Linked DNA regions of Anolis sagrei. The protein of the gene in region 1 interacts with the protein of each later gene in a pairwise test. Links are inferred from orthologs where the notes say so. Each region holds a gene or a part of one and is shown on either strand. Other genes may lie near its edges.

Region 1 (7,209 bases):
TTCACCTGCAATCAAAGAGCATTCTGAACCCCACAAATGATAGAATTGGGCCAAACTTCCCACACAGAATCCCGATGCCCACCAGAAAATATTGTGTTTTCTGATGGTCTTTGGCGACCCCTCTGACACCCCCTCATGACCCCCTCAGGGATCCCGACCCCCAGGTTGAGAAACACTGACGTAGTGCATCTTTGGGAGCTGAAATTAATATAATACGCTGTCTTATTTTTGGGGAAACAGGGTATCTATCTATCTATCTATCTATCTATCTATCTATCTTTTTATCTATCTATCAACAGGTGCAGGAAGTGCCCCATAAATGATTTCTGGGCCTAAAAGCATCCTTTCCCCCAAATGATGGTATGTGGAAGGATGGATGCATCATGTCATAATATTCCTTGACCCTTACTTGGTGCCCAGCACTGTCCCGGCCGTCTCCATCTCCGTGGCCGGATTGAAGAGATGCTCCGGACTGGTTTTGCTCGCCATTCTGATCCCGTCTGTAGGACAAAAAGAGAGTAAAGTTAGTATTTATTTTATATACTAGCCATCCCCTGCCACATGTTGCTGTGGCCCAGTCTGTATATATGTGTTTGTATATCCGTGTATATGTGGTTCTGCGGATGCATTGTAATGTATTGTTTTTTGCTTTTTAAGTCCCTTCTGTTGTGTTTTTCAGTGTTTTTCTGAGTGATGGTCGCTCGTTGGCCTGATAAGTGTATTGTGTCCAAATTTGGTGTCCATTCATCCAGTGGTTTTTGAGTTATGTTAATGTGTGTGCATATTTACCTATATATGTGTGTATATATCAATATATGTGTATGTGCAATATATATTTAAAACATTTATATTCTGCCCTTTACACCTCAACTTAGGGGACTCAGGGCAGAGCACAACATATATACGGCAAACATTCAATGCCAGGACATAAAACCATAAATATATACAAAAATTAAAATCACTTATATTCACATTAAAGGTTGCTTAAAAGCCATCTTACATGTGAATATATCTACCTATATATATGTTTATCTACACATATGTGTAAGTATGTCTCCAGTATGCTGATGACAACGTCGTATGTGCGCATTCAGAAGAAGATCTACAAGCCACTCTAACTAAACACCTTTGCAGAAGCATACGAGAAGCTCGGCCTGTCACTGAACATCGAGAAAACCAAAGTGCTGTTCCAGCAGTCACCAGCCACCCCCTCCCCAATGCCAGAGATACAGTTTCATTAGAAAATGTGGACCATTTCCGCTCCCTTGGCAGCCACCTCTCCACCAAAGTCAACATCGACACAGAAATACAACACCGCCTGAACTCTGCAAGTGCAGCATTTTTCTAAGTGCAGCATTTTTCTGAGACATCCGTAGGGATACCAAGGTGCTTGTTGATAAAGCTATTGTCCTCCAAACCCTGCTTTACGCCTGCAAAACATGGACTGTCTACAGATGTCACATGCAACTCCTGGAACGATTCCATCACCGCTGCCTTCGGAAAATCCTGCAAATCTCCTGGGAAGACAGGCAGGGAAATGTCAACATGCTGGAAGAAGAAGCAAAGACCACCAGCATTGAAGCGATAGTCCTCCGCCATCAACTCCACTGGACCAGCCACGTTGTCTGGATGCCCAACCACCATCTCCCAAAGCAGTTACTCTACTCCGAATTCAAGAACGGAAAACGGAATGTTGGAGGACAGGAAAAGAGATTGAAAGATGGGCTCAAAGCCAACCTACAAACCTCTGGCATAGACACTGAGAACTGGGAAGCCCTGGCCCTTGAGCGCTCCAGCTGGAGATCGGCTGTGACCAGCAGTGCTGCAGAATTTGAAGAGGCACAAATGGAGAGTGAAAGAGAGAAACGTGCCAGGAGGAAGGCGTGTCAAGCCAACCCCGACCGAGACCGCCTTCCACCTGGAAACCAATGCCCTCACTGAGGGAGAAGATGCGGGTCAAGAATAGGGCTCCACAGCCACATACGGACCCACAAGAACACTGGAAGACAATCCTCCTCGGAAAACGAGGGATCACCTAACCGCAACAGTAGTAAGTATGTCTATATTCAATATATATGTGTATGTGCATACATGTGTATGTGTATAGATCTGGGGCATTCAATGTACATGTGTGTATGTATATCAATATGTGTGTGTATATATCTACCTATATATATGTACGTTTATCTGTATATGTGTGTGTAACTATATATTCAATATATATGTGTGTGTGTGCATATGTGTGTGAGGGTGTGTAGGTCTGGGGTATTCAATGTACATGTATGTATATCAATGTGTGTGTGTGTATATATCTACCTATATATATGTATGTTTATCCGTATATGTGTGTGTAAGTATATATTCAATATATATGTGTGTGTGCATATGTGTGTGAGGGTGTGTAGGTCTGGGGTATTCAATGTACATGTATGTATATCAATGTGTGTGTGTATATATATCTACCTATATATATGTATGTTTATCCATATATGTGTGTGTAACTATATATTCAATATATATGTGTGTGTGCATATGTGTGTGTGTGTAGGTCTGGGGCATTCAATGTACATGTGTATATGTATATGTGTGTGCGTATATATATATATGGTTGGGGTCATTCAATGGACATACAGACAGGAACAAGGACAAGAGGGAGATAGTGAGAGAGAGAGAGATGCCTGGGGCATGCAATGTACCTGTGTGTATGTATATCTCTATAGCTAGATCTCTATGGCATGTACAATGTACAGACAGAGCTATAGGGGCAAGGCTTTTGGGGCCTACCTTGCAGGGGAGGTTTTCCTGGAGAGAGACCCCCTCCTCCCAAAAAGCCCCTGCCTGCCTTCGCCCAGAAGATGGGGCCCCAAGGCGGGTCCCCACAACAGGAAACCAAGGGCTTCGGGCCTAGTCGTGGCCCTCCAGGATGCTCTGGTTGCCCCTAGCAACCGCCTCCCCCCTCCTCGCGAGGGAGCGCTCACCTGCTTTCTCCTCGGTCCGTCCGGCGGCGCCAAGCCTGCGTGGCAACCCGGAGGGGGCGGGGCTAAAGTGACACCGCCTCCCCTGGCCGCGGAGCCTGCCGGGAAGTGTAGTCTCGCGCCTCCCTCGCCAAGGAAGACGCAGGCCTGGCTCCAGAGCGGCGCGGACTACCACTCCCAGCAGGCCTGGCTTTCTCCTCAGCCACAGAAGCCTCTCTGGCCTAGAGTTGTGTTGTTTCCCTTTAGGCAATGGAATATTTGCTCCTTTAGGAACTAATTTCCTTATTTATCTTTTCCCTATTTATTTTCCTTTTTCTTCTTCTCTCTTTCTCTTGGAATATTTTATTCCTTCTTCCTGTTATTATTATTATTATTATGGGCATATTTCATTTTCCTATATCATCATTATTATTATTTTCATATTCTTACAATATTAGTAGTCTTATATTAATATATTTCATTTTCCTACATTATTATTATTATTATTACTGGGATATTTCATTTTCCTATATCATTATTATTATTATTATTATTTTCATATTCTTACAATATTAGTGGTATTATATTAGTATATTTCATTTTCCTACATTGTTATTATTATTATTGGTATATTTCATTTTCCAACATTATTACTGTTATATTGACATTATTATTATTATTGGTATATTTCATTTTCCTACATTATTACTGTTATATTGACATTATTATTAGCATTGATATATTTCATTTCCCTACATTACTATTATTATTATTAATTATATACTTCATTTTCTTACATTATTGTTATTATTATTGATATATTTCATTTTCCTACATTATTATTATTAATATTATTATTGATACAGTTAATTTCCCTACATTACTACTACTAATATTATTATTGGCATATTTCATTTTCCTATCTCATTATTATTATTATTATTTTCATATTCTTACAGTATTAGTAGTCTTATATTAATATATTTCATTTTCCTACATTATTATTATTATTACTGGGATATTTCATTTTCCTATATCATTATTATTATTATTATTATTATTATTATTTTCATATTCTTACAATATTAGTGGTATTATATTAGTATATTTCATTTTCCTACATTGTTATTATTATTATTGGTATATTTCATTTTCCAACATTATTACTGTTATATTGGCATTATTATTAGCATTGATATATTTCATTTCCCTACATTACTATTATTATTATTAATTATATATTTCATTTTACTACATTATTATTATTATTGATATATTTCATTTTCCTACATTATTATTATTATTATTATTATTGATACAGTTCATTTCCCTACATTACTACTACTAATATTATTATTGGCATATTTCATTTTCCTACATTATTATTATTATTGGTATATTTCATTTCCTACTTTATTACCGTTATATTGACATTATTATTATATTGATATATTTCATTTTCCTACATTATTATTATTATTATTATTGGTATTTGTATATTTCATTTCCATTATTATTATTATTATTATTATTAGAAACACCACAACATGAGTCCACAGCAGACGCTCCGCTGGCTGTTGTCTTGGATCACACATCGGACCCTTCCCAAGTTTCTAGGACTGTGTGATGTATCGCCGAATAATGTGTGCAGATCCCAGTAAGGTGGCCTTCTGCAGCTGGCAGGTGGTAATCTTGTCAACGCCGATTGTGTTTTAGTGCAGGCCAAGGTCTCGAGGCGCTGCGCCCAGTGTGCCGATCACCACTGGGACCACCTTGACTGGCTTATTATTATTATTATTATTACTATTATTATTTCTAGAACTCAAAGTGGCTTGATATAAAGATCTTAGTATACATTAAAATATACAAAAACACAAACATTAAAATAGAATTAAACACATACAGCACTAAAAAAATCCAGTTAAATAAATAAATAAATAAATAAATAAATAGAAGTCCCAGGATTCCATAGGATGTGAAATCGTAGCACTATATGTGTTAAAGGGACCCCCAAGTTAACTCATTTTATATGTGGATTTCTTACAGGAACCATGGGAGTCATCGTTTGGCCCCACCAGCTCCACATTCATCTCAAATCTTCCCCCAATGAAACAAAAAAGAGGCACAGGTCGGGGAAATTATCTATACCAAGGTATACATTTTATTTATTAAGACTCCTGTTTGTGTGGTGGGAATGTGGTCCTGTGTTCGGATTCCGGCTTCGCGTCCTCAGTTCTTGTTGTTGAGTTCCCTGGAGAGCTGGCAGAGTCCGCAGAGCGGGCAGCAGGACATCACCACCCAGTCCGAACAGATGGAGCCCTGCGGGGAAACATTATTGTTATTATTATCATCATTAATTATGAATTATATCCTTGTTTCCTCTCTTAAAAAAGACTCAAAGCAGAATGTTGTGGTTGTTGTTGTTGTTGTTGTCACAGATGTGGACAGCCCTCTGTCAGGATGAATCGAGTGGTGTATTCCTAGCAGTTGGACTGGGTGGCCCTTGAGGGTCTCTTTCAACTCTAGGATTCAATTATGTATCTAGCATCTTATCCCTCTTCTATATGAGATCTACGGCAATCTGGCTTTGGCTGAATGGCCCTCTGTAAAAAGGGATCGGATGAGGGTCTCTTTCAACTCTAGGATTCAATTATATATCTAGCATCTTATCTAACTATATGATATCTATGGCCATTTGGCTTTGGCTGAATGGCCCTCTGTAAAGAGGGATTGGATGGGGTCTTCCTGCCAGACAGAATGGGGTTGGACCAGATCCCCCTTTGGGGTCCCTTCCAAATCTGGGATTCTATGGAGGTCTTCAACACAGGATGGATGGGCATCTGTTGGGAGGGATCAAATGATGCACCTTATTATTAGATGCATCTTGGGGTCCCTTCCAACTCTAGGATTCTGTGGTTCTATTATTATCATTATCATCATTATTATTATTATTATCATTATTATTAGATGCACTGTGGGGGTCCCTTATTGCTCAAGCATTCTATGGTTCTATTATTATTATTATTATTATTATTATCATCATCATTATTATTAGATGCACCGTGGGATCCCTTAAAACTCTAGCATTCTATGGTTCTAGTGTTATTATTATTATTATTATTATTATTATTATTATTATTATCATTATTACTAGATGCACTGTGGGGATCCCTTATTACTCAAGCATTCTATGGTTCTATTATTATTATTATTATTATTATTATTATCATCATCATCATCATCATCATCATCATTATTAGATGCACCGTGGGGTCCCTTAAAACTCTAGCATTCTATGGTTCTATTATTATTATTATTATTATTATTATTATTATTATTATTATTAGATGCACTGTGGGGTCCCTTATTACTCTAGCATTCTATCGTTCTATTATCATCATCATCATCATCATCATCATTATTATTAGATGCACCGTGGGGGTTCCTTATTACTCAAGCATTCTGTGGTTCTATTATTATTATCATCATTATTATTGGTACCTCATCACACTAGAGCATCCAGTTGCTCCCTCCTGCAGCATTCTGGGGTTTGTAGTTTAGGGAGGCCCAGGACCTCTCTGGCGCTGTAGTTTAAAGGCCCCTCCCTAAACTACAAACCCCAGAATTCTACAGGAGGGAGCAACCAGAAAGTGGATAGACACTCTAGTGTGATGAGGTCCTAGATGCACCTTGGGGCCCCTTTCAACTCTAGCGTTCTATGGAAGCCTTGAAACACAGGCTGGATGGACATCTGCTGGGAGGGATCAGATGATATACCTTATTATTATTTGCACCTTGGGGTCCCTTCCAACTCCAGCATTCTGTGGTTCTGTTGTTGTTGTTGTTGTTGTTGTTGTTGTTATTATTATTATTATTATTATTATTATTATTATTATTTGCACCTTGGGGCCCCTTCCAACTCTAGCATTCTGTGGTTCTGTTGTTGTTGTTGTTGTTGTTATTATTATTATTATTATTATTTGCACCTTGGGGTCCCTTCCAACTCTAGCATTCTGTGGTTCTGTTGTTGTTGTTGTTGTTATTATTATTATTATTATTATTATTATTTGCACCTTGGGGTCCCTTCCAACTCTAGCATTCTGTGGTTCTGTTGTTGTTGTTGTTGTTATTATTATTATTATTATTATTATTTGCACCTTGGGGTCCCTTCCAACTCTAGCATTCTGTGGTTCTGTTGTTGTTGTTGTTATTATTATTATTATTATTATTATTTGCACCTTGGGGTCCCTTCCAA
Region 2 (7,764 bases), on another chromosome or scaffold:
ATTATTATTACTATTATTATTATTATTTGATTTATTCCAATTTATTTAATTATTATTATTATTATTATTACTATTATTATTATTATTATTTGATTTATTCCAATTTATTTAATAATAATAATAATTATTATTACTATTATTATAATAATTATTATTATTTGATTTATTCCAATTTATTTCGCTCTATACAGCGCCAAAATTTATGCTTTCCTTGTTTTGCACAAACTGGATCAAACCCATATTTTATTTTTGTTAATTTAATTAATTTAACTTTTTAAATTTAATTTTTAAATAAATAAATAATAATAATAATTATTATTAGTAGTATTAGTATTATTCCAATTTATTTCACTCTACACAGCGCCAAAATTTATGCAAACTGTATCACACCCATTGCTGCGTATTTAATCCCATACAGCTGAGACTCTGCACATGCTCAGAGGCAATAATAATGATAACGAGAAGCCCCTTTGGTATCGATATTATTACTAATAGATACTATTACTAGTCGTTCCCTTGATATTAATAATTCCCTTAAGCCATCTGATAGGACCCATATCTATCCTTTATGCAATCAGACACTCTGCACATGCTCAGAGGCAACAACAACAACAACAACAACAATAGTAATAGTAATAACCACAATAATAATGAGCAGCTTTGGGTCAACAACAACAGCAACAATAATAATGTGCTTTTCCCTATTCATTCCCTTTACCCAGATCTATGCAATCAGACACTCTGCACATGCTCAGAGGCAACAACAACAACAACAATAACAGTAATAGTAATAACCACAATAATAATGAGCAGCTTTGGGTCAACAACAACAACAACAATAATAATGTGCTTTTCCCTATTCATTCCCTTTACCCAGATCGATGCAAGCAGACACTCTGCACATGCTCAGAGGCAACAACAACAACAACAGTAATAGTAATAACCACAATAATAATGAGCAGCTATGGGTCAACAACAACAGCAACAACAATAATAATAATGTGCTTTTCCCTATTCATTCCCTTTACCCAGATCTATGCAATCCGACACTCTGCACGTGCTCAGAGGCAACAACAACAACAACAATACTCACTCCCTTTCCCCAGATCTATCATTCCTGCAATGGGACACTCTGCACATGCTCAGAGGCAATAATAATAACAACAATAATAGTAATAGTAATAACCACAATAATAATGAGCAGCTTTGGGTCAACAACAACAGCAACAACAATAATAATAATGTGCTTTTCCCTATTCATTCCCTTTACCCAGATCTATGCAAGCCGACACTCTGCACATGCTCAGAGGCAACAACAACAATAGTAATAGTAATAACCACAATAATAATGACCAGCTATGGGTCAACAACAACAGCAACAACAACAATAATAATGTGCTTTTCCCTATTCATTCCCTTTACCCAGATCTATGCAATCAGACACTCTGCACATGCTCAGAGGCAACAACAACAACAGTAATAGTAATAACCACAATAATAATGAGCAGCTTTCGGTCAACAACAACAACAACAATAATAATAATGTGCTTTTCCCTATTCATTCCCTTTACACAGATCTATGCAATCAGACACTCTGCACATACTCAGAGGCAACAACAACAACAACAACAACAATAGTAATAACCACAATAATAATGAGCAGCTTTGGGTCAACAACAACAGCAACAACAATAATAATGTGCTTTTCCCTATTCATTCCCTTTACACAGATCTATGCAATCAGACACTCTGCACATGCTCAGAGGCAACAACAACAACAACAATAATAATAGTAATAGTAATAACCACAATAATAATGAGCAGCTTTGGGTCAACAACAGCAACAACAACAAGAATAATGTGCTTTTCCCTATTCATTCCCTTTACCCAGATCTATGCAATCAGACACTCTGCACATGCTCAGAGGCAACAACAACAACAACAATAGTAATAGTAATAACCACAATAATAATGAGCAGCTTTGGGTCAACAACAACAGCAACAATAATAATGTGCTTTTCCCTGTTCATTCCCTTTACCCAGATCTATGCAAGCAGACACTCTGCACGTGCTCAGAGGCAACAACAACAACAACAATACTCACTCCCTTTCCCCAGATCTATCATTCCTGCAATGGGACACTCTGCACATGCTCAGAGGCAATGATAATAACAACAACAATAATAATAGTAATAGTAATAACAACAATAATAATGAACAGCTTTGGGTCAACAACAGCAACAACAACAATAATAATGTGCTTTTCCCTATTCATTCCCTTTACTCAGATCTATGCAAGCAGACACTCTGCACATGCTCAGAGGCAACAACAACAACAATATTCACTCCCTCTACCCAGATCTATCATTTCTGCAATGGGACACTCTGCACATGCTCAGAGGCAATAATAACAACAACAACAACAATAATAATAATCATTCCCTTTACCTAGATGTATCATTCCTGCAATGGGACACTCTGCACATGCTCAGAGGCAGCAACAACAACAACAACAATAATATTCACTCCCTTTACCCAGATCTATTATTGATGCAATGGGACACTTTGCACATGCTCAGAGGCAATGATAATAATAATAATAATAATAATAATAATAATCACTCCCTTTACCTAGCTCTATCATTTCTGCAATGGGACACTCTGCACATGCTCAGAGGCAATAATAATAATGATAATAAGCTTTCAAAAATAATAATTTGCATTTCCCTATTCATTGCTTTCAGCCAGCCTTTAATTGCAATGCAAGGGTCTCTGCACATGCTCAGAGGCACCCTTAATTGGGGTCTATGTGCGTTTCAAGGCCCCCCTCTCCACCTTGGCGGTGACTTTGTACTCGGTGTGTCCCTTGGGGTGGCCGCGGGGCTCGGTGACCGTGTAGAAACGCTGGTACTCCTCTTTGGCCCGGCGGGACATTTCCGTGACGCGGCCCCTTTAAATCTGGGACCTCCCCGTTGGAGCCAAGGGAGGGCTCCACTGCGCCTGCGCGCGCCTGCCTCTCCTGGCTGGAGACAGGGCTAGGGAGCGTCTGCAAAGTGCAAACGCCAATAGGTCAATAAGGGCTCCTCTACAAAAGGCAAAACCTGGTCCAAGCAGAAAAAAATAAATAAATAGAAACTATTGACAATTTTTTACTAGGAATTTATTATTTTATTAATAAGTAAATAATAAGAGGGAAAAAAAGAGCTGGAAGAGGGGAAAAAAAGAAGAAAAAAAGACCCCTCCCCTATTTATTTATTTATCCCCAATTATTATTACTTCCAATACTAATAATAATAATATTTGCAGTACTGTCAATCAATCACGTTGGCTCCCACAGACCATAGAACCATAGAATCATAGAATCAAAGAGTTGGAAGAGACCTCCTGGGCCATCCAGTCCAACCCTATTCTGCCAAGAAGCAGGAATATTGCATTCAAATCACCCCTGACAGATGGCCACCCAGCCTCTGTTTCAAAGCTTCCAAAGAAGGAGCCTCCACCACACTCCGGGGCAGAGAGTTCCACTGCTGAACAGCTTGGATGGTGTAGAGTTGGAAGAGACCTCATGGGCCATCCAGTCCAACCCCATTCTGCCAAGAAGCAGGAATATTGCATTCAAATCACCCCTGACAGATGGCCATCCAGCCTCTGCTTAAAAGCTTCCAAAGAAGGAGCCTCCACCACACTCCGGGGCAGAGAGTTCCACTGCTGAACAGCTTGGATGGTGTAGAGTTGGAAGAGACCTCATGGGCCATCCAGTCCAACCCCATTCTGCCAAGAAGCAGGAATATTGCATTCAAATCACCCCTGACAGATGGCCATCCAGCCTCTGCTTAAAAGCTTCCAAAGAAGGAGCCTCCACCACACTCCCTCCGGGGCAGAGAGTTCCACTGCTGAACGGCTCTCACAGTCAGGAAGTTCTTCCTCATGTTCAGATGGAATCTTCTCTCTTGTAGTTTGAAGCCATTGTTCCTTTGCGTCCTAGTCTCCAGGGAAGCAGAAAACAAGCTTGCTCCCTCCTCCTCCCTGTGGCTTCCTCTCACATATTTATACATGGCTATCATATCTCCTCTCAGCCTTCTCTTCTTCAGGCTAAACATGCCCAGCTCCTTAAGCCGCTCCTCATAGGGCTTGTTCTCCAGACCCTGGATCATTTTAGTCGCTCTCCTCTGGACACATTCCAGCTTAGGGTCAATATCTCTCTTGAATTGTGGTGCCCAGAACTGGACACAATATTCCAGGTAAAGTGGTCTAACCAAAGCGGAATAGAGCATGGGGAGCATGACTTCCCTGGATCTAGACACTATGCTCCTATTGATGGAGGCCAAAATCCCATTGGCTTTTTTTGCCACCACATCACATTCCTGGCTCATGTTTAACTTGTTGTCCACGAGGACTCCAAGATCATTTTCACACGTACTGCTCTCAAGCCAGGCATTGTCCCCCATTCTGTATCTTTGCATTTCGTTTTTCCTGCCAAAGTGGAGTATCTTGCACCACTGCGACCCCCACCAATGATGGACCAGGACCACACTGGGCACACAGACCCCTCCCCTATTTGCAGTAATGTCAATCAATCAGGTTGGCTCCAATCAATCACTGCTCACCTATTTGCAATACTGTCAATCAATCGCGTTGGCTCCCACAGACCACTGCGACCCACACCAATGACGGACCAGGACCACACTGGGCACACAGACCCCTCCCCTGTTGCAGAACTGTCAATCAATCACGTTGGCTCCAATCAATCACCCCTCCCCTATTTGCGGTACTGTCAATCAATCACGTCTTAGAAAAATACTCAGTATTTGCTTTTTTGTAATGAATGCTCCCATTCTGTTTTTTTATGAAAACTCCATGATGTTGCTCAGGTTAGTTTGGTAAGGATAAATATTAAAAATAGTCATTGTTAGATTTTGGATTTTAAGAATAGACCTCTTAGAAAATGCATAACTGTATAAATAGGGCCATTTATAAATTTGGACAGCTGATGTGGTGCAACTTCCATCAGTGCAAGACCAACTTACTTCTCTACTAACCAAGTAACGCATTTTCTAATGGTATGTATTATATTTTTTTCCCAATTTACAGATGTAGAAATTAGTAAATCATTGGATTTACTGTAGCCATACTAGATTGGAATGTGTCCAGAGGAGAGCGACTAAAATGATCAAGGGTGTGGAGAACAAGCCCTATGAGGAGCGGCTAAAGGAGTTGGGCATGTTTAGCCTGAAGACGAGAAGGCTGAGAGGAGGCATGATAGCCATGTATAAATATGTGAGAGGAAGCCACAGGGAGGAGGAGGGACCAAGCTTGTTTTCTGCTTCCTTGGAGACTAGGACGCAAGGGAACAATTCCTTCAAACTACAAGAGAGGAGATTCCATCTGAACATGAGGAAGAACTTCCTGACTGTGACAGCCGTTCAGCAGTGGAACTCTCTGCCCTGGAGTGTGGTGGAGGCTCCTTCTTTGGAAGCTTTTAAACAGAGGCTGGATGGGCATCTGTCAGGGGTGATTTGAATGCAATATTCCTGCTTCTTGGCAGAATGGGGTTGGACTGGATGATGGCCCATGACTGTGAGAGCCGTTCAGCAGTGGAACTCTCTGCCCCGGAGTGTGGTGGAGGCTCCTTCTTTGGAAGCTTTGAAACAGAGGCTGGACGGCCATCTGTCAGGGGTGATTTGAATGCAATATTCCTGCTTCTTGGCAGAATGGGGTTGGACTGGAGGATGGCCCATGACTGTGAGAGCCGTTCAGCAGTGGAACTCTCTGCCCCGGAGTGTGGTGGAGGCTCCTTCTTTGGAAGTTTTGAAACAGAGGCTGGATGGCCATCTGTCAGGGGTGATTTGAATGCAATTTTCCTGCTTCTTGGCAGAATGGGGTTGGACTGGAGGATGGCCCATGACTGTGAGAGCCGTTCAGCAGTGGAACTCTCTGCCCCGGAACGTGGTGGAGGCTCCTTCTTTGGAAGCTTTTAAACAGAGGCTGGATGGCCATCTGTCAGGGGTGATTTGAATGCAACATTCCTGCTTCTTGGCAGAATGGGGTTGGACTGGAGGATGGCCCATGACTGTGAGAGCCGTTCAGCAGTGGAACTCTCTGCCCCGGAGGGAGTGTGGTGGAGGCTCCTTCTTTGGAAGCTTCTAAACAGAGGCTGGATGGCCATCTGTCAGGGGTGATTTGAATGCAACATTCCTGCTTCTTGGCAGAATGGGGTTGGACTGGAGGATGGCCCATGACTGTGAGAGCCGTTCAGCAGTGGAACTCTCTGCCCCGGAGTGTGGTGGAGGCTCCTTCTTTGGAAGTTTTGAAACAGAGGCTGGATGGCCATCTGTCAGGGGTGATTTGAATGCAATTTTCCTGCTTCTTGGCAGAATGGGGTTGGACTGGAGGATGGCCCATGACTGTGAGAGCCGTTCAGCAGTGGAACTCTCTGCCCCGGAACGTGGTGGAGGCTCCTTCTTTGGAAGCTTTTAAACAGAGGCTGGATGGCCATCTGTCAGGGGTGATTTGAATGCAACATTCCTGCTTCTTGGCAGAATGGGGTTGGACTGGAGGATGGCCCATGACTGTGAGAGCCGTTCAGCAGTGGAACTCTCTGCCCCGGAGGGAGTGTGGTGGAGGCTCCTTCTTTGGAAGCTTCTAAACAGAGGCTGGATGGCCATCTGTCAGGGGTGATTTGAATGCAACATTCCTGCTTCTTGGCAGAATGGGGTTGGGCTGGATGATGGCCCATGACTGAGAGCCGTTCAGCAGTGGAACTCTCTGCACTGGAGTGTGGTGGAGGCTCCTTCTTTGGAGGCTTATAACCAGAGGCTGGATGGCCATCTGTCAGGGGTGCTTTGAATGCAATATTCCTGCTTCTTGGCAGAATGGGGTTGGACTGGATGGCCCAGGAGGTCTCTTCCAACTCTTGGATTCTAGTATTCTATGATTCTATGACTCTCTGGTCGGCACTTCCGGCTTCCTAGGCAAAACAATCCCCGGATGTAGCGCCACGGTCTTTCCCGTCGTCGTCACTTCCGGCCTGCTGCGAAAAAAAGTCCCAGGATGCGGCGCCGCTCCAGAGAGTCTCCAGAGGGAGGGCGGAGTCAAGTGAAGTGCCCGGATGTTCCTCCAGCGAAGGGAGGCGGGGGGAAGGAGGGAGGGCGGAGTCAAGTGCCCGGATGGATCCAAGATGGCGGCGCGGGTGGCCCTGAGGAGGAGAGAGTGAGCCCGGGAGGGAGGCCTGGCGGGGCCGGGAAGGGGAGCGGGCCGGGAAGGGAGGAAGGAAGGGCCGGCGGAGAGGGAAGGGGCCTCCCGGGGAGACCAAGGGGAGGAGGGCCGGGGAGGGAAGGGGGAAAAGTAGGCCCTGCCCGCCCTGCTCGGCCTTCCCTCCCTTCTCCCCCTCTGGAGGAATCCCAATCACCGTAGACTTTCAGGCTGGGGGGCTGCGACATTCCCAGGCTGCCTGGCCACCTTCCAGAAGCATTCTCTCCTGACCTTTCGCCTGCATCTGTGCCTAATGGCATCCAGACAAGAAACAATCAGAGCCAGCTAACACTTTCTCCCAGGCAGGGAGCAGCCAGGCTTTGTAGCTGCAAAAATATATTCAATGCCACCTGTCAGGGGTGCTTTGTAGCATTACCTACTGACCTTTCGCCTGCATCTGTGGCTAATGGCATCCAGACAGGAAACAGTCAGGGCCAGCTAACACTTTCCCCCAGCAAGGAAGCAGCCAGGCTTTGTAGCTACAAAGATATATGCAATGCCATCTGTCAGGGG
Region 3 (6,990 bases), on another chromosome or scaffold:
CTCAGTCCTGCCGGCACAGTGGTTTAACCCACTGCGTCACCAGGGGCTCCTGTTTTTGAACTGTTTGGCTGGCAGAAGCTGGGGCTAACAGCGGAAGCTCATGCCGTTCCTCAGATTTGAATCTGCAACCTTCTGATGAGCAAGTTCAGCAGCTCAGTGGTTTAACCCACCGTGCTACCGGGAGCTCCTGTTTGAATACCTAAGTCCCAACTGAAATGCAGAATTCAATGTTTACAAAAGAAAAGCAAGTCTGAACCACTACAGACCCACTAAGAAAATCCAACAAAAGCTACATTCAGCAAAAGACAAGAGGGATCCTCTCACCTCTGCGGGAGTCCACCTGTGGACAAGTCTACATAGGGACCACCAAATGCAGCATTGCCCAAACACAAATCAAAGAACATGAAAGGCACTGCAGAGAAGTCAATGGCTCAACCTGAGAAGTCAATGGCTTCTTTGTGTAGTCTGACATGGTGAATGTTAGAGTGGTCCAGCATTTCTGTCTTCTCAAATAATTTGCTGTGTCCAGGTTGGTTCATCAGGTGCTCTGCTATAGCTGACTTCTCTGGTTGAATTCAGTCTTTCATGTTCCTTGATTTGTGTTTGGGTGTTTCATTTGGTGGTCCCTATGTAGACTTGTCCATACGGTAGACTTTTCCCCCCCAATATGTTTTTAATGCAGACACAGGTAGAATAACATCACAATCCATCACCATTTCAAAATACATATCAAATCTTATTTTCTTAGTGTTCTTAACTTTGCCGATTCTACCTTTATCTCCTACTTGTGTCTACCAATTTTACACCCCTCCCCCCACCTTCTGGGAACAGTACTTTCCTGCATTCAAATATTATTTTAATTGAACAATCGTAGAAAGAGAATGGTTCAGTTCTATATATTTTCCTATTTATTTGACTACCCCATTTCAGAATCCAATTCTTCTTGATTTATGATAGACTCCGTTGATAGTTTGTAACTATCTAAAGACCCACTAAGAAAGTCCAACAAATGCTACGTTCAGCAAAGGACAAGAAGGATCCTCTCACCTCTGCAGGAGTCTATCGTATACCATGCAGCTGTGGAAAAGTCTACATAGGGACCACCAAATGCAGCATTGCCCAAACACAAATCAAGGGATATGAAAGGCACTACAGACTACTTCAACCAGAGAAGTCACCCAAAGCAGAGCACCTGATGAACCAACCTGGACACAGCATATTATTTGAGAACACAGAAATGCTGGACCACTCTCACAACCACCATGTCAGACTACACAGAGAAGCCATTCAAATCCACAAGCATGTGGACAATTTCAACAGAAAGGAGGAAACCATGAAAATAAACAAAATCTGGCAACCAGTATTTAAAAAAACCTCTAAAATCAGAACAGTAAATAAAGAGCAACACTCAGAAATCAGGGGAATTCCAGACAAGAATCAATCAGGGCCAGCCAAAACCTCCCAATAAAAGATTCCCCCTTGCAGGAAGCAACCAGGCTTTGAAGCTGCAAGGTTATTCAATGTTAATCAAGGTGATCAATTGCAGCATTCACACTTGCCTCAAACAGGTAAGAGTTGGTTGTTATAGGTTTTTTTGGGCTATATGGCCATGTTCTAGAGCAGGGGTCCTCAAACTAAGACCCGGGGGCCAGATATGGCCCTCCAAGGTCATTTGCTCGGCCTTCGCTTAGGGGCAACCTAAATCTGAAATGACTTGAAAGCACACAACAACAACCCTATCTCATCAGCCAAGAGCATGCCCACACTTCTGACTGAAATAATAATAGGTTTATATGTTAAAATTGTTTTTCATTTTATTTATTGTATTGCTTTAAAATGTTTTTTTGCAGTACAAATAAGATATGTGCAGTGTGCATAGGATTTCATTCTTTATTTTTCAAATTATAATCTGGCCCTCCAACAGTTTGAGAGACTGTGACCTGACCCTCTGTTTAAGAGAATGTTCTAGAGACATTCTCTCGTGACGTTTCGCCTGCATCTATGGCAAGCATCCTCAGAGCTTGTGAGGTCTGAGTTCTTTGTCCCACCCTGGACATTATTCCACAGGTATATAAACCCCACTTGCCTAGTTTCCAACAAAGATCACAACCTTTGAGGATGCCTGCCACAGATGCGGATTTCAATGGCTTCTCTGTGTAGCCTGACATAGTGGTTGTTAGAGTGGTCCAACATTTCTGTGTTCTCAAATGATATGCTGTGTCCAGGTTGGTTCATCAGGTAATCTGCAACAGACCTCACATCTTCTGAGGATGCGTGCCATAGATGTGGGCGTAACGTCAGGAGAGACTGCTTCTGGAACATGGCCATACAGCCCGGAAACCTCACAGCAACCCAGTGGTCCGGCTATGAAAGCCTTCGACAACAGAGAGGCTGGATGGCCATCTGTGCGTGTGTGGGTGTTCCTGCATGGTAAGAGGTTGGCCCTGGGGTTCCCTTCCAACTCTGTGATTGTAGGACAGGCGTGGGCAAACCTCGGAGGAATTAGTCCAAAGCACCTGGAGGGCCGAGGTTTGCCCACGCCTGTCCCAGGACCTGCTTCCCCCCCTCCTCACCACTGCACCAGGAGGGCGCCCTTCTCCTTCCCCCGGACCCTGTCGATGAAGGCGGCGGCCTGGTCCAAGCGGCTCAGCAGGTCGCTGCCGGGCTGGTCGAGGGCCTCCAGGTGCAGCACGTCCTCCAGCCCCACTTCCCCGGGGGGCTCCGAGTCCACAGACAAGAGGGCCGTGACGCCCGCAGGCCTCTCCGCCGCTTTCCCGCTTTTCCCTGCAGGGCCCACGTACAGCCCCGGAAGGACCTCCACCGTCGTCATGGCCTCTGCCGCCTCCTTCTCCCTCGCCTGAGAATGTGGGAAAGCCATGCCTGAAGCCTTCACTTCCGGGTTTGCTTGAGAAAGTGGGAAGGCCCTGACCGAAGTCGTCACTTCCGGTGTATCTTCACAAAGCAGAAGTTGCACCCTCCAGGAGAGTTTAGCAAGACCAAGGGATCCTAGATTGTCTGTCTTTCCTCCACCACGCTGTGTAATTTGCATGATCCCGCCCACTGCCTCTCCCTTAACCCTTTCCTGTTCTTTTCTATGGTACACCTCAAACGCAGAGGAATTGAATTATTCTGACCCTAAAATGTGTCACTTTGATAGCCGCTGCTGTCCAAGACTATTGCCATCATGTCGTGGAGGAGCCACAGGATATTCACAAATTTATCAGGGCACCCATTTTTCAGGAAGATGGTCCACAAACCATTACGGTCCATAATGTCAAATGTCTTTGCAAGAACCTTAAAAATAGGAAGGGGCTGCAAGGACTATGTAATCCAACTCCACTTTGAAAGAATATGCAATTATATAGTTCCTGAAACAATGTAAAAATTCTAATGCCCTGCAAGTAAAATTGTAGACTAATTGAAGAATAAAAGTGGGCAACTGCACAAAGGGCTGCAACCATTTGTTTTCCAATTTCTTTGTGTGTCAGGAGCGACTTGAGAAACTGCAAGTCACTTCTGGTGTGAGAGAATTGGCTGTCTTCAAGGACGTTGCCCAGGGAATGCCCAATGTTTTGATGTTTTACCATTCTTGTGGGAGGCTTCTCTCATGTCCCTGCATTGGGAGCTGGAGCTGACAGAGGGAGCTCATCCACATTCTCCCAGAATACGAACCTGCGACCTGTCGATCTTCAGTTCTGCCAGCACAAGGGTTCAACCCACTGCACCAAATTATTATTAATAATACAAACAAAGTATGGATCGTTGATGTTGCAATCCCAGGTGAGAGCAGGATTGATGAGAAGCAACTGGAAAAGCTGACATGATACGAGGATTTAAAAGATTGAGCTGCAAAGACTCTGGCACAAGCCAGTCAAGGTGGTCCCAGTGGTCATCGGCACACTGGGTGCAGTGCCTAAAGACCTTGGCCTGCACTTGAAAACAATCGGCTCTGACAAAATTACCATCTGTCAGCTGGAAAAGACTCCCCTACTTGGATCTGCATGCATTATTCACCGATACATCACACAGTTCTAGAAACTTGGGAAGTGCCTGACGTGTGATCCAATACAACAGCCAGCAGTGATCTTGTTTGCTGTATACTAATCTTGTTGTATATCAAATAATAATAATAATAATAATAAATAATAATAATAATAATTAATAATTAATAATAATAATAATAGTTTTATCTGCCTCTCCTGGCACAGTGGGCCATGGCATCATATCTTGGTATACCTGATGTTATACAACATAACTTTCAGCTGCTATGTTGGTTACTTTTCTTTTTCTTTCTTTCTTTCTTTCTTTTTTGATGTTTTTGGTGATTTGGAGGATAAGGAGAAGCAGATCACTGCATTTTTGGTAGTTTTGGAAGAGTTTGACTGGGGTTGGGTAAAAAGAAGTCCAATGAAAAATGGGCTGAAGATTATGGGACACTTTTTGAGGAACCCGACGGCTGTGTGTGGCCTGCACTTTGTCCATCCCTATTTTAGAACATACAAACAAATTCATTTTAATACCAGTATTTCATTAATTGTTTTCCCTATACCAGCTAGAAATCACAACAAGGTCAAAGGAAATAAAAACCACAAGAGACATTAGTGATATTTGCTTCAGTTTTACAATTTAGCAGGAAAGCAGCAGCACTCTTGCATCTTTCATCATCCAGCAAAAAAAGGCAGAGCGCCACATTCAAAGCTAAGGAGAATTTACAAAGCTGACATTTATAGTTGTTTTAGAATTTTAAACAGTTCTTTGTCCAATCTGTATATATTTTAACAGTGAATTCCTCTGAATGTAGCAGCAATAATAAAGGATTCAACATGTAAATCTGATATAGCACTGTTGCATGGAAACCGAATCTTCTTCCAAACTGGTCTGAAGTGGCTGGGAGCAGAGAACGCTCACAGTCAGATTAAAGTATGTCCAATGGGTCTTTCGAGAAAGCAGTTTGTGCAATACAAAAATTGTTGTCATATACACCTAGCAACTTTTCTACGTGATACATCTGAAACAGTTCATTTGGATTTAGTTTACTGATTGCTTATATTCTTCCAAATTCCTCCTTGTAAAAAAATAACAGAGGCAGGATTACCCGCCTTCTGATCTCTGAAAATGAATTAGACCACCATGGTGCATATGGGATTGGCATGTAGCATGTCATAGAGAGTTCGGAAACCAAATGGAATGGCAGGGCTGCATAGTCAGAGGTCCGGAGAAGAGGGGTAAGAGTAGTATGATCCATTTTCCTGTAAAGATACAAAAGATGAATTGATGCAGTGTACACATAAAAACAAATAATCCCTAAATGAAAATCTTTTCCACCACAGCCATTCATTAGGTAACAAAATCTGAAATAAATTCTGTTCTTGGTCTGAAAATGTTCTTTCCTGTTTAATTGTGTGGTACTTACTTTGAAAGTAGTTGTTGTATTTTGTTTTTGTGGCTGCCACAAACTATGTTGAATTGGTTGAGAGTCTATGAGATATTTGTTAAATAAAACTATAGCAAAGTGTGCTGCAAGATGTCCCACAAAAACTTTTTTTTTTGCATTTTAATAAACTTTTACCATGTTTTTATGATAGAACGAATTAGGAAATGAAAATTATAACCCAGAAACAAAAATTGTGTTACACAGTGATATCTGATGGGTAGGCAAAGCATGGCTGTGAGCTGTATGTGCTTCCCAGAGCTGTTTTTGTGCCCCCTAAAGCCACCAGGGCTCCAAACATATTTTTGAAAAACTTCTCAAAAAAGATCAGTAACGGTAAAGGTTTCCCCTGACATTAAGTCTAGTTGAGTCTGACTCTGGGGGATGCTGCTCATCTCCATTTCTAAGCTGAAGAGCTGCCATTGTCCGTAGATGCCTCCAAGGTCATGTGGCCGGCACGACTGCATAGAGCACAGTTACCTTCCTGTTGAAGTGGTACCAATTGATCTACTCACATTTGATGTTTTCAAACAGCTAGGTTGGCAGAAGCTGGGGCTAACAGCGGGAGCTCACCCCGCTTCCCAGATTCAAACTGCCAACCTTTCAGTTAGCAAGTTCAACAGCTCACTGGTTTAAGCCACTGCACCTCCAGCGGCCCCGAAAAAGATTATTTTGCTAATAATGACCCACAATGCCCTTGAGGGGTTCAGGAAGGTCCCAAAACATGGTGAGAATGCCATGTCCTCTAGAGCAGTGCTCGTTAAAAATTTCCACTCAGGACCCTTCTTGACCTGATAAAATTTATATGGGTATAAAACCCATATATTTACTGATAACAAATCAGCATTTGCAAGGCTTTTTAAACAGACTAATTTTCCTTTTTATGAAGTACAACTGAAGCATCTTCTGCAGAGTCTACTGTAAACCCTGAACAACAGATTTGCATAAATGTCTAAAACAGCCATTTTATCATTTTATCTTGTCCATTTGGCCTGCCCATTGTGTTCAATTTTCTATTATGCTATTTTGCTTTGTTTATTTTATTTTGCCACTGTATGTACTTTATTGTGATGTAATGTTTGGTGTTGTATTTTGCACTTTATTTTGCTGTATTGTATCTTTGGGCTTGACCTCACGTTAGCTACCCCAAGTCCCCTTCGGGGAGATGGTGGCGGGGTATAAATAATGATGATGATGATTATTATTATTTGAAACACAACAAGATAATCCACAGCGGACAAGATCACTCTGCTGGCTATTGTATTGGGTCACATGTTGGACACTTCCCAATAATAATAATAATAATAATTATTATTATTATTTCTCCCTTACTTCAAATATGAAGCCCCTTGATGAGCAACCTTAAATAAATATTTGATAGGCTTTGAGGTTTTAAATCTTGAGTTAAGTTTTGCCAGTCTGCTACATCAAAAGATATTTAAAAAGTGTCTGTAGTAAATCACTGGCTTAGATAATGTAGTTTAATAAGAAAATATGAAAAAAAAACCTATTTTGGTAAGAAGTACTTTCACACCAACACAAACAGAATCAGTTTAAAG
Region 4 (7,871 bases), on another chromosome or scaffold:
ATCTCTCCGATTTCCAGCTCCTGTTCTCTGCCCCTAACCATGGCTGGGATATACTTCTAGCACTCACCTAAACTCTGGTTAATGTTAGCCAGAGTTATGCTTTCAATCAAGTTGATAATTGGTTTTAAAATTCTAGCATAATAATAATAATAATAATAATAATAATAATAATAATAATACAGTCCTAGACGCTTGGGAAGTGTTCGACTTGTGATTTTGTAAAACGAAATCCAGCATATAGATCTCGTTTGCTGTGACATACTGTGCTTTTGTGTCAATAATAATAATAATAGATAGATAGATAGATAAATACACAAGATTAGTATGCAGCAAACAAGATCACTATGCTGGCTTTTGTCACACGTTGGACACTTCCCAAGTGTCTAGGACTGTGTGACGTATCGGCAAATAATGCATGCAGGTCCGAGTTTTGGCCTTTTGCAGCTGACAAGGCAATTTTGTCAGCGTCAATTGTTTTTAAGTGCAGATCACCACTGTTTTTAAGTGCAATCACCACTGGGACCACCTTTACTGGCATGTGCCAGAGTCTTTGTATATTATTATTATTATTATTATTATTATTATTATTATTGAGCCCCTGGTGGCGTAGAGGGTTAAACCCCCTGTGCCGGCTGGATTGAAGACCGACAGGTCGCAGGTTCGAATCCGGGGAGAAGCAGATGAGCTCCCTCTATCAGCTCCAGCTCCTCATGCGGGGACATGAGAGAAGCCTCCCACAAGGATGATAAAACATCAAAAATCATCCGGGCGTCCCCTGGGCAATGTCCTTGCAGACGGCCAATTCTCTCACACCAGAAGCGACTTGCAGTTTCTCAAGTCGCTCCTGACATGACAAAAATAAATAAATAAATATTATCATTATTATTACAATGTTTATTTATACCCCGCTTTCTCTCTCCACAAGGAGACTCAAAGTGGCTTACCATAAGGAAACATGTGTAGCGTTAACTGTAGTGAAGGATGATGTCAAAACAGCTTGTCATGATGAGGACTGTCAGTCAAAGAGAGGGAATTTTGCCTACCATGGGAGGACACACAAGTCAATCACCTAATCTTCATTATGCTTCAAAGAATGGTGTGAACTTACCTTTTCATATATGCCATTGTTTAAACCATGTAATTGGTTTGCTACTCTCAGCTTCCCCTCCACACATAACTTGACACAACCATCTATAAGTAAGCCACTATTTGCGTGACGTGAGCTTGGTGCTGACATGTCAGCTTTCAGCAACAGAAAACAGTAGCATTGAGAGTAAAATTACAATGTAAATGTTTTTAAAAGACAACAGACATCATTGCCAATTCTTGAAAAATTCAGAAAAGGGATGTCTCACCAAGTCCTTTGGCAAGCCAGTTGTTGACTCCATGGGGCACAGCATCGTAGGCTGTATGGGGAGAATAAATGGCAACTCTGTTTTCCAGGGCTTGGATAATGAGACGCTCTTTCCACGTTTTCCACGTTAGGCGTTTGAGTGGCTGAAAAATGGGTGGGTGGTAAGACAGAATAAGATTGGCTTTCTTCTGGAGGGCCTCCTCCATCACTTCCTCGGTCAAGTCGTTGGTCAAAAAGAGGGTGCTGACGGTATGGGGAGGGCTTGGTTCAACCAGGAGCCCCACATTGTCCCAACTCTCAGCCAGCGACAGCGGAGCAAACCCATTGAGGGAAGAAACCAGGACCTTAAGATCCATGAAGGCTCTCAAAGGCACATCAATCCAGGACCGGACACTCAAGAGGCGCTGCGGAGTTGGCTTCAGGTAGGAGAACTGCATGCAGGTGCCTAAAGAACGCCAAAGGCAACGATACAATTAGAAATACTAGGATAAATAGTACATTCTTAGGGCCCTCCTAGACAGGCCCTATATCCCAGGATCTGATCCCAGGTTTTCTACTTTACACTGGATTATATGAGTCTGCACTACCAGATAATCAGAAATCAGGGATAAACAGAAAACTTGGGATCAAACTATGGGATATAGGGCCTGTCTGGAAGGGCCCTACAAAAAACTGGATATTTCACAAATACATCTATATAAATAAAAATATAATGTTCGTTTGTAGGATTAACATAACTCAACAACCACTGGACGAATTGCTGCCAAATTTGGCTACAAGACACCTACTAACCCATGGAGTGACCATGACTCAAAAAAATGATTTTGTCATTTGGGAGTTGTAGTTGCTGGTATTTGTAGTTCACCTACAATCAAAGAGCATTCTGAACTCCAGCAATAATGGAATTGAACCTCTGTGTAGTCTGACATGGTGGTTGTTGGTGTGGTCCAGCATTTCTGTGTTCTCAAATAATATGCTGTGTCCAGGCTGGTTCATCAGGTGCTTTGAGAACACAGAAATGCTGGACCACACCAACAACCACCATGTCAGACTACACAGAGAAGCCATTGAAATCCACAAGCATGGGGACAATTTCAACAGAAAGGAGGAGACCATGAAAATGAATAAAATATGGCTACCAGTATTAAAAAAACTCTAAAATTACAACAGCAAAACAACAGAGAGGAAACAACCAGGCACAGATTAACACCTCCCAGCAAGAGATTTTCCCAGGCTCAGGCAGGCCTTCAAATGCTAATGAAGGTGATCAGTTGAAACATTCACACCTAGCTCCAGCAGACAAGAGTCCTTTGTCTCACCCTGGTCATTCCACAGATATATAAACCCCTTTTTCCTAGTTCCAACAGACCTCACTACCTCTGAGGATGCTTGCCATAGATGCAGGCGAAACGGCAGGAGAGAATGCCTCTAGACCATGGCCATATAGCCCGAAAAAAACCTACAACAACCCTAATCCTTGACAGATGAGCAGATCTGAAAATGTACTGCCTGATCCCATAGCACTGAGCCAGGGCATAAATGTGTGGTCAAACTGCATTCATTCCTCAGTGTAGATCCATCCCAGCAACTTCCCTTCCCAATTTCCTCCCTCCTTCATTTAAAATCCCTTCCTTCCTGGTATTGGGGGGGGGGGGTTGTCTCTGAATGGCCCTCTCACCTCTCTTCCAGCCTGGGATAGACTGGGAGGGCTTCCAGCTGGAGCACGTTTTGAATGCAAGGCGGCCCTCTTCTGCTGGAGAGAGGAAGGGGGCGTGGCCTAGCGGGTGGCAGCGGGGGCGGGGCCTCACCAGGAAGTAGGAGGACGACAACAAGCAAGAGGAAAGGGGCCTTTTGGCGGGAAGAAGGTAAGTAAGCGCCCCATTGGGCCAGGCGCTTCCTGGGAAGCAGGCCCCGCTGTAGTGCAATGGGTGCCGTTTGGTCCCACTGGAACCGCCTCTTCTCAATGCTATGCAGGCCTGGGAGCTGCAGTTTGGCGTGGCATCCAGTACTCTTGGGTGGAGAAGGCGCAAGACCTTGTAAAACTACAACTCCCATGAGCAGCGAGCCATGGGATCAAAAAGCATTCATTCCACAGAGTAGAGGCGCACCCCTGATCTCTTTGCAGGAGTAAAACCTTTCCATGGTCGTTTTGAGTGAGATTTTGTGTGTATGTGTGTGTGTGTGGAGGGGGGGGGGTTGTGTGTTTTAAAATGTATTTCAGTTGAATTCATTATGTGTTTTGAACCAGTTACTTCATGCCTATCAGCCTCCTCCCAGTAGAAGGAGAAAATGGCATTCATAACCATTTGGAGATCATAACTTTTTAGATCTTTTTAGACCTTTCAGAGTAGAGCCAAAAACCCTTTAGAGGAGACCCTTCTCTTGTGGTATGCAACCAGATATAATAATGCAAGGCAATGGTTTCAGTTGTTAGACTGAATAACCTGTTATCTCTGATCTGTTAGGAAAACAGATTTTTCCAGTGCATAAAAAACAGCAGTGCTTCAGAAGTTTTTTTAGTGTCCAAAAATATTTTTTCTCTCCCATAAAAAACTCGTTTTATTTATTGATTTAAAACATTTATTTTCCGCCCTTCTCACCTCAAAGGGGACTCAGGGCGGAGAACAGCATATATACGGCAAACATTCAATGCTGGGACACATACATAAACATTAAAAACATTTATCAAAATATTAAAATACACCATTTAAAACCGTCCTAGTCATCCGCATCAAATCATTGGCCTGGTCATCTTTCCTATTGCCGCTTTATTGCCCTGTCCCGAAAGCTTGGTCCCAGAGTCAAGTTTTTACCATCCTTCTAAAGGACAGGAGAGAGGGGGCCGACCTGATCTCACCAGGAAGGGAGTTCCATAGCCGGGGAACAATCACCGAGAAGGCCCTGTCTCTCGTCTCCACCAATCGTGCCTGTGACAATGGCGGGACGGAAAGCAGGGACTCCCCAGAGGATCTTAATCTCCGTGATGGTTCATAGGGGGAGATGCGTTCGGACAGGTAATTTGGGCCGGGTAATTTGGGCATAACATGGGAGTTGTATGCTCCCTGTATGCCGCCTCAGTTATTAACCTGGCTGCCTCTCATTGGACTATTTGAAGTTTCCGAGCAGTCTTCAAAGGCAACCCCATGTAGAGTGCGTTGCAGTAGTCTATCCTAGATGTAACGAGAGCGTGGACCACTGTGGCCAAGTCTGACTTCCCAAGGTACAGGTGCAGCTGGCGCACAAGTTTTAATTGTGTGAACACTCCCCTGGCCACCGCTGCAACCTGGGATTCCAGGCTCAGTGATTAATATCATGCACTCTAGACAAAAATGAAGTAGAGTTAGTTAAAAATAACATACTTGGTTTATTCACAACTTCATGTATTCAGAATACACATGTACATAACTATCAATGCATGAAAAGCACAATCAAAGTACCCCTGACAGTTCAAATACTCCTATTTGAACTTTTTTTAGCATAGTGGATCTAGACTTTATGTATAAGGTGTATATACTTAGGTCCTGTCTCCAAGATATCTCATTATCTACTTCTGTACATGCAGATATTCTGAAATCCAAAACTCTTCTGGTCCCAATCATTTTGGATAAGAACTCTTTAACCTTGCAAATAGTACATGCCTCTGCCCTTTTAAAATAATGCCAATTCTTCCGGGTTTTTAAAAACCATGCTAATGTTAAATTCAGTTTTAATTGACTTGTTGCAGGAAAAACAGAGCTTTTGGCACCTTAGAAACTGACAGATGCATTATAGCTTTAACATTTTGGATTGCTTTTCATGTCATAATAAATATGCTAATCTTTCTCAACTGTGGGATTCAGTCTGGTCACTCTGCTAAAAACAAAAATAGTACAATCATTCTCATCCAAGTGGTTCCTCCATGCCTTTACTACTAGAGCAATATTGCTTTTAGCATGCAAAGCCACATTTCCACTCATTATAGCTATTTTTTCTGGTTTTTTTGCAGAAACTCTTCAGGTGGCTCTGATTTGAATTCCTTGTCTGCACAGATGGTGAGGCTGGTTGTTTCAATATCTTCTTCCTAACTGCGTGCAAGGTATTCCTTGAGAAACAGGTAGCTGTCTATTTAGAAACACACTATTTTAGAGTATACAGGCAGTCCTCAAGTTACAAACAAGATTCTGTAGGTTTGTTGTTGTTGTTGTTCATTCGTTCAGTCATCTCCGACTCTTCGTGACCTCATGGACCAGCCCACGCCAGAGCTCCCTGTCGGCCGTCACCACCCCCAGCTCCTTCAAGGTCAGTCCAGTCACTTCAAGGATGCCATCAATCCATCTTGCCCTTGGTCGGCCCCTCTTCCTTTTGCCTTCCACTTTCCCCAGCATAATTGTCCTCTCTAGGCTTTCCTGTCTCCTCATGATGTGGCCAAAGTACTTCAACTTTGTCTCTAGTATCCTTCCCTCCAATGAGCAGTCAGGCTTTATTTCCTGGAGGATGGACTGGTTGGATCTTCTCGCAGTCCAAGGCACTCTCAGCACTTTCCTCCAGCACCACAGCTCAAAAGCATCGATCTTCCTTCGCTCAGCCTTCCCTAAGGTCCAGCTCTCACATCCATAGGTTACTACAGGGAAGACCATGGCTTTGACTAGGCGGATCTTTGTTGCCAGTCTGATGTCTCTACTCTTTACTATTTTATCGAGACTGGACATTGCTCTCCTCCCAAGAAGTAAGCGTCTTCTGATTTCCTGGCTACAGTCTGCATCTGCAGTAATCTTTGCACCTAGAAATACAAAGTCTGTCACTTTGTAGGTTTGTTATGAAGTTGAATTTGTATGTTTAATTAGAACAGAAACATTTTTAAGCGTATCTCCATCTACCCCTCCCCCCATATATAAGCTTTGGACAGCATAGGGAAAGGTTAAAACCCCTGTGGCATTTGTTTTGCTGTCTGTGCCCCTATTCAGATTTTGGAAAAAATGTTTTTTTGCGGAAACAGGATTGGTAATAAAACTTCTGTTGAGACACCTTTTTCCCATGATGATGTTGTCAAGCCATGGCACACCCCCTCCAAAAGGTTATGAACAATAAAAAGACCCCAAGCAAGAAATATGATTTTTTCTTTAATTTTAAAACATTTCCCACCCATTCAGAGATTTGCGATATTGAAGCCGCAGAGGATCTAGCTAGAACTGTGTCCCAAACTCTATCAAAGCTTAACCCCTTAATGCAGGGGTCCTCAAACTAAGGCCCGGGGGCCGGATGCGGCCCTCCAAGGTCATTTACCTGGCCCTCGCTCAGGGTCAACCTAAGTTTGAAAAGACTTGAAAGCACACAACAACAACAAATATAACAATCCTATTTCATCAGCCAAAAGCAGACCCACACTTCCCATTGAAATACTAATAACTTTATATTTGTTAAAATTGTCCTTCATTTTAATTATTATATTCTTTTAAAGTGTCTTTTGCACTACAAATAAGATATGTGCAGTGTGCATAGGAATTCATTCATGTTTTTTTCAAATTATAATCCAGCCCTCCAACAGTTTGGGGGACTGTGACCTGGCCCTCTGTTTAAAAAGTTTGAGGACCCCTGCCTTAATGAATGTATAAAAATGCTACTCTCTGTGTAACTTGTATTGCTTATGTACTGTATCAATATCTAAATGTATAAACTTGTATCAAATGTAGCCTGAAGGTATCTGCTGCCCCAATGCCCCCTGTTTGCATAAGCTCCTGGGAACGGAAATTGCTATATAAAACAAGGATCTCCCAAGCCAGATAAAATCCTTTGTGTATGTATGTGAGACAGATGATCTGATCCTTTTGCTACAAAGATATGCTTAGGATGTTTTCCTGTTCAAATGAGGATGGAGGCTGCCATTCTCATGGAAGTGAAAGCTAAACAAATATGAATACATTAATCTTCTGAATAGGCAGCCCAGCCTCTTGTTATTTGGGATTATCATCTTTTGTCCTGTGGGTCTTGCACCTTTGTCTCTCTGGAACTGGACACTTAAGTCAATCAAGATCAAAGAATCATCTGAATACTTATGTCATCCCTTCCCTCAGTTTTGTGCCCTTCCAGCGGGTGTCTCTGCAACAAACTGGACCTTTAAAGTGACCAAACATCAGTTGTTGTTCTTCTTGCTGCCATGGGGATCTCCTCCTCCTGTCAGTGACATCAGGGAAACCCCTGGCCAATCCCTGTGTCAAATCATCCGGGCGTCCCCTGAGCAACGTCCTTGCAGACGGCCAATTCTCTCACACCAGAAGTGACTTGCAGTTTCTCAGGTTGCTCCTGACACGACAAAAAAAAATCCCTGTGTGGATCCTATTCGGCAAGGTTTCTCAGCCAGTCAGGGGGAGGCATAGGAGCTCCCGGGAGTGCAGTGGGTTAAACCCCTGTGCCAGCAGGACTGAAGACCGACAGGTCGCAGGTTCGAATCCGGGGAGAGTGCGGATGAGCTCTCTCTGTCAGCTCCAGCTCCTCATGTGGGGACATGAGAGAAGCCTCCCACAAGGATGATAAAACATCA

The links.
Region 2: the proteins of prenylated Rab acceptor protein 1 (region 1) and SNX15 interact in binary tests that used the Homo sapiens proteins (3 or more experiments, as listed by UniProt). The two-hybrid records come from large-scale screens. The link is inferred for Anolis sagrei from reciprocal best matches to the Homo sapiens genes RABAC1 and SNX15.
Region 3: the proteins of prenylated Rab acceptor protein 1 (region 1) and DUSP12 interact in binary tests that used the Homo sapiens proteins (3 or more experiments, as listed by UniProt). The two-hybrid records come from large-scale screens. The link is inferred for Anolis sagrei from reciprocal best matches to the Homo sapiens genes RABAC1 and DUSP12.
Region 4: the proteins of prenylated Rab acceptor protein 1 (region 1) and NIF3L1 interact in binary tests that used the Homo sapiens proteins (3 or more experiments, as listed by UniProt). The two-hybrid records come from large-scale screens. The link is inferred for Anolis sagrei from reciprocal best matches to the Homo sapiens genes RABAC1 and NIF3L1.

Annotation. Positions count from the first base shown.
Region 1 is NC_090035.1:83,784,805-83,792,013, reverse strand, and holds the start of prenylated Rab acceptor protein 1, read right to left. Parts: upstream 3,084-7,209; 5' UTR 2,979-3,083; intron 2,842-2,978; exon of another isoform or gene 2,785-2,841; intron 501-2,784; 5' UTR 490-500; coding exon 410-489; intron 1-409. Other genes in the region: cornifelin homolog, read right to left, coding at 5,184-5,273. UniProt on the Homo sapiens protein: General Rab protein regulator required for vesicle formation from the Golgi complex. May control vesicle docking and fusion by mediating the action of Rab GTPases to the SNARE complexes.
Region 2 is NC_090032.1:21,597,185-21,604,948, forward strand, and holds the start of SNX15 (sorting nexin-15), read right to left. Parts: upstream 3,003-7,764; 5' UTR 2,935-3,002; coding exon 2,836-2,934; intron 1-2,835. UniProt on the Homo sapiens protein: May be involved in several stages of intracellular trafficking. Overexpression of SNX15 disrupts the normal trafficking of proteins from the plasma membrane to recycling endosomes or the TGN.
Region 3 is NC_090022.1:199,090,959-199,097,948, reverse strand, and holds the start of DUSP12 (dual specificity protein phosphatase 12), read right to left. Parts: upstream 3,077-6,990; 5' UTR 3,050-3,076; coding exon 2,574-3,049; intron 1-2,573. Other genes in the region: GDAP2 (ganglioside-induced differentiation-associated protein 2), read right to left, coding at 5,205-5,249. UniProt on the Homo sapiens protein: Dual specificity phosphatase; can dephosphorylate both phosphotyrosine and phosphoserine or phosphothreonine residues. Can dephosphorylate glucokinase (in vitro).
Region 4 is NC_090021.1:176,902,622-176,910,492, reverse strand, and holds the start of NIF3L1 (NIF3-like protein 1), read right to left. Parts: upstream 3,139-7,871; 5' UTR 3,033-3,138; intron 1,800-3,032; 5' UTR 1,792-1,799; coding exon 1,356-1,791; intron 1-1,355. Other genes in the region: PPIL3 (peptidyl-prolyl cis-trans isomerase-like 3), read left to right, coding at 5,383-5,385. UniProt on the Homo sapiens protein: May function as a transcriptional corepressor through its interaction with COPS2, negatively regulating the expression of genes involved in neuronal differentiation.